Arabidopsis thaliana: one gene and its partners. The protein of the gene in region 2 interacts with the protein of the main gene of each other region in a pairwise test. Each region holds a gene or a part of one and is shown on either strand. Other genes may lie near its edges. The genes, in order: SK9, AT1G57790 and SK10.

Region 1 (3,219 bases), on a different chromosome or scaffold from region 2:
TGTAGTTGATGATGAGTTCATCAGAGTTCAATAATCAAATAATGAAAGTAGACATATATTTCGTTTGTTGTGATAATACTTACAAAAATACTCTTCTTTACTCGATAAAATACTTTTGCATTCCTTTATTTTTTTTTTATTAAATTTCTGACAGGTTATGGCTTGTTAATCTTATAAAATGTATTTAAAATTATACAAAAGTCAGACGAAATATTAAAAGCTACATACATTTAACTAAAAAAAGTTATATATATATATATATATATATTGACATATTTCTTTTCTAAAAAATTGAGATCTATACAATATGTTTTCACGAAAAACAAAAACTGCAGTTTACAAAAAAAAAAACAAAAAAACTGCAATATAATATATATTATATAGATATATTTATAGATACGTATAAGATATAGACATATTCAAATTTCAGACTTATTCGTAAAGCAACAGTGAAGTAATGAACTTAATTTCGCAAACTACTGGATTTTGATTTTATTATAAAGTAAAATTTCATATTATTGAATAAATTCTTATATTCTTTATGCGAAAAAACAGTGGATGAGTTCTTCTTTTTTGAATTAAAATTTAAAACTGTGTGCGGAAGTTACTTAATTGGAACATTTTTGGTATATATTAAGAAATGACAAAGAGATATGGAAAATATAAAATCAAAGACCATATATTAATTGAAAGTATTAAAACATATGAAATTTCAAATAAAGGTTACAGATTATATAACCTTTCAATGTTTTCAAGTGCGTATGTAATGTACACAACATCATAGTGCATTGTTAATCTTCATTTTTTTCTTGAAAATTTGAGTTGGTGGTTAGTCCAATGGATAAAAACGGAATTACAAGCAAATCTAGGAGTAAATACAACAAACACGAGTTTCCTAATTAAAAAAAAATTGTGGTTTTACTCAAATGGCCACATAGAAAGGTAATATATCAAAGACTTTTGTAGAAGAACAGCATTGCTTAAAAAGAAAGGGAGAACAACATCAACATGAGTAGACATACAACTTTCGAAAAAAAAAAAAAAAAAGTAGACATACAACGATAATTAGCTTTTGCCGTATATATATATATATAAAGACATACAACTATACAACTAAACTCTCTTGTGACTTACTTGACACAATACAATGACAAAACTGTAGAGGAAATCAGTAACAAGAAGGAATAGTTAAGAAGAGCAAAACTAATTACACAGTTACACACGACATAAGTTATTGGCAAGTACTTGTGAATTCAATAATCCAATAATGACATATATATTTCATTCATTGTGTATTGTAAAAAACTTTTGTATTCATATGTAATTGTTTTGATTAAAATTGTGAGCTGAAGTTTCCTATTTGGAACTTTGTGTTTGTGGTATTAATTAAGATCTAAAAAAAGTTAGAATCAAAGAGGTAGATATTACCGTGTAATACTATCAATTGCGTAAGACGTGATATTTATGCATTCATTTATAAAACATCATCGTAGTGCATTTTTGATGAAAAAGTTTATTTGGAAAAATGGAGTCCAGTAGATAAAAAAAAAAAAAGAATTACATAGAAACTTAGGAGTAAACACTGTAAAACACGAATTTCCAAAAAAAAAAAAAGAAGTTGTAGTTATAATTTAAAAGACACATATAAAAAATAATTTAGTGGAAATTAAAACAACATAACATGAGTAGATAACTTAATGATTGTGTGACTTACTTGACACGATACATCATACATGTATCTATGAAAGTTAGGGCTTACATACTAACTTACAAGTAAACACATGAAAAAGTTGTGGTTTTAATCAAAAAGACACATAAAAAAAGACTTTAGTGGAAGAACAACATCAACATGAGTAGACATACAATACAACTTCAAGCTTTCGTGACTTACTTGACACGATACATGCATATATGAAAGTTATTAGGGCTTATAAATAGACAAACGCATAGGTTCATAACTTCATTACCTTATTACTCAATCATTTACTCAATTCTTCAATCTTCCAGAGAAAAAATCTCCCCCACTGAAAAAATAATGTCGACGAAGAAGATCATATTGAAGAGCTCCGATGGTCACTCATTCGAGGTCGAAGAAGAGGCCGCACGCCAATGCCAGATTATCATAGCTCATATGAGTGAAAATGATTGTACCGATAATGGAATCCCTCTTCCAAACGTGACAGGCAAGATTCTTGCGATGGTGATCGAGTACTGCAACAAGCACCACGTCGATGCCGCTAATCCTTGCTCCGACGATGATCTCAAGAAGTGGGACAAGGAGTTCATGGAAAAAGATACATCCACGATCTTTGATCTCATCAAGGCTGCGAATTACCTAAACATCAAAAGCCTTTTTGATCTAGCATGCCAAACCGTCGCGGAAATCATCAAAGGCAACACTCCTGAGCAGATTCGCGAATTCTTCAACATTGAGAATGATTTAACACCTGAGGAAGAAGCAGCGATTCGTAGGGAGAATAAATGGGCTTTTGAATGAGCGGATTATCAAAACCTAAACAGCTTTCTTTCTTTTCTTTTCTTTCTTATTTAGTGTGTGTTTCGTTATCAATCTAGGTGATGGTGACTTCATCTACGTACGATAATCCAATAATGGAAGCAGCTGCTTTCTTTCTTTTCTTTTCGTTTTCTTCTTTAGTGTGTGTTTTTAATATCTTGATCAATGTAGTTGATGATGAGTTCATCAAAGTTCAATAATCAAATAATGAAAGTAGACATATATTTCGTTTGTTGTGATGATACTTACAAAAATACTCTTCTTTACTCGATAAAATACTTTTGCATTCCTCTGTTTTTTTTAATTAAATTTCTGACAGGTTATGGCTTGTTAATCTTATAAAATGTGTTTAAAATTATACAAAATTCAGGCGAAATATTAAAAGCTAAATAGATTTAACTAAAAAAAGTTATATATATTGACATATTTCTTTTCTAAAAAATTGAGATCTATACAATATTTTTTAACGAAAAACAAAAACTGCAATATAATATATATATTTATAGATGCGTATAAGATATAGACATATTCAAATTTCAGACTTATTCGTAAAGCAACAATGAAGTAATGAACTTAATTTCGTATAACTACTGGATTTTGATTTTATTATAAAGTAAAATTTCATATAATTGAATAAATTCTTATATTTTTTATGCGAAAAAACAGTGGATGAGTTTTTTTTTTTTAATTAAAATTTAAAACTG
Region 2 (3,786 bases):
TTTCTCTGCGAGAAATACGAGAAAGATTTTGGAAAAGTTATTTCCAAATGCACAGGTATAATATCTGTTTTATCAATTTCATATAATATATAATGTGTGATTTATTTTAATAAAATTGTCTGAATTATGTATGATTAGGTGTTGAAACATATGTAGTGGATCTAGAAAATAAAAAGGTTGTGGTCATTGGAAACTTTGATAAGGATGAACTGTCGAGAAAACTTAATAAGAAGATGCATCAAAAGATTAAAAAAGCTGAAAAGGAAAGACAGGAGTGGGAATCTGAAATGATGTTAAGGGAGGCTGAAGAAGAAAAAAGACTTGCAGATATTTATGAAGAAATCGACAAGGATAGAAATGTATCTCTCAACCCAATTACTGATTATGAAAAGGAGATGGCCAAACATTATTACATGTTTAGTGATGAAAATCCTAATGCATGTTCTATTTCGTAACATAGTCGAAACAAGTGTCCACAATGAAAAATACAACATGCTAATGGACCTTATGCATTTTGTGATATACTTTAATGTCTCATTCACCAAAAGTATTATGTAAGTTGGACAAAATAAAAGTATGATTTCATTTTAATCTTTTTATTATAAAGCTATATCCCATGAAAATCTTGAAGTGTGAGAGAAATTTTGTTTTTATCGAATAAGGAACAAGAGGAGCTTGGAGCTTAGACAGTGAGCAAAAAATTGACATAACAATAACAATAGCAACAAAAGAACATATTAGTGGAGCTAAGTCATCATCTCTAAGATGTGCCAAGTTCAAACACCAAACATTGCAAAAATACTTTTAAACTAGCTCAAAAGCGTTCTTGGGAGGCTCGATCCAAATGTTATCAGATGAAAGCTGTTTTCCCCAATCAAGATCATGCTCTCGCAGGTGGTACCTCCCTTCATCAAACGAATACACCACACTTTGTTTCTCATTGTAACACAACTCAGGGAAGTATACACTATTCCTTAACATCCCATCCTTAACATATGTTCTCGATTCACATGACTTCCTACTCACAAAAATAGTTAAACTACCGAGTGTATCCTTCTCCTCCCAAATACCTCGAGTAAGATCGAGTTTAAACACCAAAGGGTCCTTATTTTCATATGTACGAATCACAAGTATGTCACCTTTATAACCTACCATGAACTTTCCTTCATTCCAACTCTTATCATCGGGACATCTAGGTGGCGGTACATCAAGAACATTCCATGTACGTAAAGACGGATCAAAAACCGCAACGTGGTTTCTTTGGTTAAGACAGTAAAACACGCCATTTGAGAAAACAACATTGTTATGATCAACATCAAGGAATTGAGACTCAACCTGCATTGAAGTCCACATCGTTTGACCCGGACTCCAAGTACGGATAGTGACATGGCCTGGATCATAATCCTTGATAGTAAACACCACACACTCACTAGATGTAGGAGCAGAAGAGAAACCCACTAACTGATAATAAGTGAACAAGTGAAGAAAAGGCAAGGCTACAACATCCATAGTAAATGGATTGAACAAGACAAAGTGTGATGAATCTTCTTGGCTCATAAGTAACCATCCATCTTTCGAGTAACGAACAATAAAGCCAACTAACGATTTAGGCAGCTCCATTGTATACTTCTTGCAGTTCGATGGATCGTAAAAGTCGTAAGTGTTCTTGGTTTCAGGGAAGTACATGAGCCAAGGAGATTTGTCAATGACCCTAACTGAAACTGCGGCTTCGAACCACGATTTGCATACAACAGAAGCTCTTACGTTATCTTTGATTTCAAGAAAAGTCATTACTGAACTCAGAAGCTCTAAAGGAAGATCCTTCCACAGGTTCTTGGACCCTTCATTGGTATTCACGCTCATGATGGATCTGAGAATAGTTCATAAAACAAGATCGAAAATTGAATAATCAGATTATGAAAAGACAAAACTTTGATTGATTTTGGTTCATATCAGGCTAAGTGTATATCATTGAATTCAAGAATTCAGAATTGGGCAACAAATACGAAATTCAGATTGTTACTCAGATCAGATAGATGGAAATGCAAAACATCAAAATTGAAGCAAAAAGAGATAGAGATTAGAGGGAAAGAAAACTTACGATCTCAACTTCACTGTTCTTCTGATTGAAAGGTGAAGAGACGAGACAACTGGATGTATAAGTGATGAGTGATTACTATTATAATAACCAGAATAAAATAAAATGTTAAATATGTAGTTAAATACATGAAATACCCTTAAAATGAAAATAGTTAAAATATTAAATAAGAAAAAAATATAGAATTGTCTTCCATATTAGTTGATGATTTTTTCTTATTTATTTCTATCTTTCAACTCTTTTCTTTTTTGGAATCAGATTTCATTTTTTTTCTCAGTTATCTATTATTTTTAAAATTTGGTATTTAGTTTATGACTAACAAATTTTGTTTCTCACAAAATAATATACAAAACATCTAATTATTTTAAAAATATAATTAATGAAGATTTTACCATATTTTATTTATATATAATTTCCATAATCTAAGATTATATTTTGAAAAACTTGTCCCGTAAATAGTAGGGACATTATCTAATTTTGTATATAGTAGGGGATAATTCGGGATACCACATTTAATTTGACAATTGAGTTAATTTCATTTATAGTTTTGTTAGTATGGGAAATAATTATGTAATTTTGTATCTGACATTGTAAAAGAAACATGAACGGTACTATCTCGAGATATGTTTTGTTCGTATGCAGACAGAAAAGGTATTTTCAGTAAGAATATAAAAAGCAATAACTTGGAGGTTGTAGTAACCAATATCAAAGTTTTTATTATGAATATAGATTGTGTTGTATTATTAATGATTACAAGAGCTCTTTTATATACACGTTTCTACAGAGTACTTATAGAGAAAGATATTATTCTATACGAGATATTAACGAGAGTGATTGGAGGAGTAATCAAAGGAATTGATATATATGATTCTCCTTAATAGTTTTTACAAAGGTAAATTATGCTTTAGACGCTTTTTGAGAACAAGACATTGTAATTGTCTCTGTATTGATAGTTCATAGCAGAATAATTCATGACCAGAAACGAAGAAATGTAGTATCTTTCTTTTCTCATAATCAGCTCTTTTTCAATGCTCATTGACCTACTTCATCGTATTATTAGACAACAATAAAGCATATTTGAAATCATCTGAAGGGAAGGAAAAATAGTGAGCAGAAAAGTCTTAAAAGTCTTAAAATAGTGAGCAGAAAAGTCTTAAAATCATTTGATGATCTTCTGGTCATCATATTAAAAAGAGAATTAAAGGTAGAGCAAAAGCTGTATTTACTATTTAGCTTCCACTTTCATCTACGTTCAGTGTTTTTTTTTTTTAGGAGCCAAAATGTTATGTAATCAACAATCTCGTGCCAAGATGCTTATGTAATTTTTTTGTCGATCACATTATTTATAACTATATATTGATTCTAAGAATATAGTGATTTCATAGAAAGATGAGAATAGCTTACCAATTCCAAGATGGGTGTTAAAACTTTCATACCAGTTGATTCAGTAAACATTAACCCTCACAAGTAAATTGATTATTTCTCCCATGAAATCTTGAAGTTGTTCATCCGAGGTTTGGACATATTTGGATCATCCAAAAAACATGTTTCATGATGGAGCATAAGCCATGGCATGGACCAGCTGCAGAACGGATGGCTGAAGCTAGGGTTGTAAAATTTCAATGATCAGAATTCAGAAATTGCAGAATTTTGATGGAGATCCTGAGAACTCTTTCCTCCTTATATAA
Region 3 (3,124 bases), on a different chromosome or scaffold from region 2:
GCAGTTTTTTTGTTTTTTTTTTTGTAAACTGCAGTTTTTGTTTTTCGTGAAAACATATTGTATAGATCTCAATTTTTTAGAAAAGAAATATGTCAATATATATATATATATATATATAACTTTTTTTAGTTAAATGTATGTAGCTTTTAATATTTCGTCTGACTTTTGTATAATTTTAAATACATTTTATAAGATTAACAAGCCATAACCTGTCAGAAATTTAATAAAAAAAAAATAAAGGAATGCAAAAGTATTTTATCGAGTAAAGAAGAGTATTTTTGTAAGTATTATCACAACAAACGAAATATATGTCTACTTTCATTATTTGATTATTGAACTCTGATGAACTCATCATCAACTACATTGATCAAGAAATTGAAAAACACACACTAAAGAAGAAAACGAAAAGAAAAGAAAGAAAGCAGCTGCTTTCATTATTGGATTATCGAACGTAGACGAAGTCACCATCACCCATATTGATAACGAAACTGAAAAAAAAACACACTAAAGAAGAAAGAAAAGAAAGAAAGCTGCTTAGTGTTTGCTTCACCCGCTCATTCAAAACCCCATTGATTCTCCCTACGAACCGCTTCTTCTTCCTCATGTGTATAATCATTCTCAATGTTGAAGAATTTGCGAGTGTGCTCCACAGTGTTGTCTTTGATCATATCCGCGACGGTTTGGCATGCTAGATCAAGAAGGCTTTTGATGTTTAGGTAATTCGCAGCCATAATGAGATCAAAGATCGTGGATTGATATTTTTCCATGAATTCCTTGTCCCACTTCTTGAGATCCTCGTCGGAGCAAGGATTAGCGGCATCGACGTGGTGCTTGTTGCAGTACTCGATCACCATCTCAAGAATCTTGCCTGTCACTTCTGGAAGCGGGATTCCATTATCGGTACAATCGTCTTCACTCATATGAGCTATGGTCTGGCATTGGCATGCGGCCTCTTCTTCGACCTCGAATGAGTGACCATCGGAGCTCTTCAATATGATCTTCTTCGTCGACATTATTTTTTCGCTGGGGGGAGATTTTTTCTCTGGAAGATTGAAGAATTGAGAAAATGATTGAGAATTGAGAGAAGGATTTCAGTAATAAGGTAATGAAGTTATGAACCTATGCGTTTGTCTATTAATAAGCCCTAATAATTTTCATAGATGCATGTATCGTGTCAAGCAAGTCACGAAAGCTTGAAGTTTTATGTCTACTCATGTTGATGTTGTTTTCCACTAAAGTCTTTTAAAGCTAAAACCACAACTTTTTATCGTGTTTACTTGTAAGATTATATGTAATTCAATTTTATATATTGGACTAACCACCTACTCAAATATTCCAAATAAACTTTTTTTATTAAAAATGCACTATGATGTTGTTTTATACACATAACGCGTCTTCAAAGTTTCTATAAATGCATGCATAAATATCACGTCTTACGCAATTAATTGATCTTAATATTATTACACGGCATGTCGAGATCTCTTTGTTTTCACTTAATACCACAAATGTTCCAATTAGGAAACTTCAGTACACAGTTTTATTTGATCATCCACTGTTTTTCACAGAATTAATTGATCTTAGTATTACACGGCAATGTCTAGAAGATCTCTTTGTTTTCTCTTAATACCACAAATGTTCCAATTAGGACAATTCAGTACACAGTTTTATTTGATCATCCACTGTTTTTCACATACAGATCAGGATTTTTTTTACCAACTATATGAAGTATTACTTTATAATATAAATGAATTAAATCAAGGAAAAATATAAGCAAGTCATATTTTCTTTAAGCATTTCGATATAGAACTAATCCACACTTCGTCGATGAACTAATGACTAAACAACGGACATTTGTTTATTTCTTAAAGAATTTTGCTAAGTTGCTAATACAAAAATTACAAACTTGGATACTTTCACAGAGGCACTCGCAGTAATATCTAACTCCAAATGTATATCAAACTTTAATTTAGACACAATCAAAGAAAAATGAAAAACAAGTTTCAAGTTTCAGCCTAAGAGACACTCGATCAACGATGCTTAAGTCAGGACAACGTAATATCTTTCACCTCTCTTTTTTTGTTGATATTAAACACTTCCAAAGAACTGTTCTATTGACTGCGAGGTGAACACATTTGGAGCTGTTCGCTCGGGTTTCACCGTAGCGACATGAAGCTGATATTTGATGAACCTCTGCAAATAAGAGGGGAATGAGTTAAACTAAAAGCTAAGGTAAGAATGTAAATGAGTAAACAAGGAAATGACTTTACAGCTAGTTGTGTGCTGATTTCCGGGTTTGTATCAATATGCCAGTCAGGTTCTAGCTGTCTGACAAAGGAAGTTCTTCCTATCTCTGTACTACAAAAGAGCACCTGCAATTTCATGTTTACAGAATTGTGATTCTTACATTTTCTCGAAACATACACAGCAATATCGAAAGTCATGCTTTGATACGATTATTGGAAGGCTTTCTAAGACCGCTAACGAGTGCAAGATTTTGTAGAAGAAAGCTTGATTTGAATACCTTATCTTTGACTAAACCACCAGATGTAAAAACTCCTGCATTCTCTAAAGCCTGTAAAACTTTGGCCTGCAAATTAGAGCTCAAAATGTGAGTTTCAGAAACTACTGACAATAAGCATATAGTAACACCAATGAACTCGATTCCTCTAATAATGTAAAGATATGTGCTTAAGAATCCTTCTAATTACACATTATTCATCGACCAACTATTATCGATATGAATATCCATGTAATGTTATGACCTACTGCCCGAGTATTTAAGCTAACCATGTTCAATAATAACCACAACTAATTTACTCTGTCCTACTAGAGACTAGTTCCAACACGAAGGCAAACAAAAGAACACGAATGAGAGAGAAAAACAAATGCTCACCTCGCTTTCATCGTCAAGAACTCTTTCCATAAGATACAAATCACTATACTTTGTAATCTCTAGTAGAACTTCCAAAACAGATGACCTCACTGTGGCTTGTTTCTGCATAAAATCACTCGTCTCAGATACAAACGCATCACACACTATATAAATAAAATCTCAAAACGAAAATATCATTACTTGGAGTTCTTCTGGACTTGTTTCCTCAAGAATTACTCCAAGAAGACGGCA

The links.
Region 1: the proteins of AT1G57790 (region 2) and SK9 interact in a two-hybrid assay, tested with the Arabidopsis thaliana proteins (one large-scale study listed by BioGRID).
Region 3: the proteins of AT1G57790 (region 2) and SK10 interact in a two-hybrid assay, tested with the Arabidopsis thaliana proteins (one large-scale study listed by BioGRID).

Annotation. Positions count from the first base shown.
Region 1 is NC_003074.8:7,696,367-7,699,585, reverse strand, and holds SK9 (SKP1-like 9), read left to right. Parts: upstream 1-1,969; 5' UTR 1,970-2,035; coding exon 2,036-2,497; 3' UTR 2,498-2,553; downstream 2,554-3,219. UniProt on the Arabidopsis thaliana protein: Involved in ubiquitination and subsequent proteasomal degradation of target proteins. Together with CUL1, RBX1 and a F-box protein, it forms a SCF E3 ubiquitin ligase complex. The functional specificity of this complex depends on the type of F-box protein.
Region 2 is NC_003070.9:21,403,774-21,407,559, forward strand, and holds AT1G57790 (F-box family protein), read right to left. Parts: upstream 2,184-3,786; 5' UTR 2,102-2,183; intron 1,871-2,101; 5' UTR 1,864-1,870; coding exon 805-1,863; 3' UTR 569-804; downstream 1-568. Other genes in the region: AT1G57780 (heavy-metal-associated domain-containing protein), read left to right, coding at 1-55, 139-455.
Region 3 is NC_003074.8:7,699,223-7,702,346, forward strand, and holds SK10 (SKP1-like 10), read right to left. Parts: upstream 1,225-3,124; 5' UTR 1,014-1,224; coding exon 555-1,013; 3' UTR 501-554; downstream 1-500. Other genes in the region: PEX22 (peroxin 22), read right to left, coding at 2,086-2,190, 2,268-2,369, 2,522-2,587, 2,894-2,995, 3,074-3,124. UniProt on the Arabidopsis thaliana protein: Involved in ubiquitination and subsequent proteasomal degradation of target proteins. Together with CUL1, RBX1 and a F-box protein, it forms a SCF E3 ubiquitin ligase complex. The functional specificity of this complex depends on the type of F-box protein.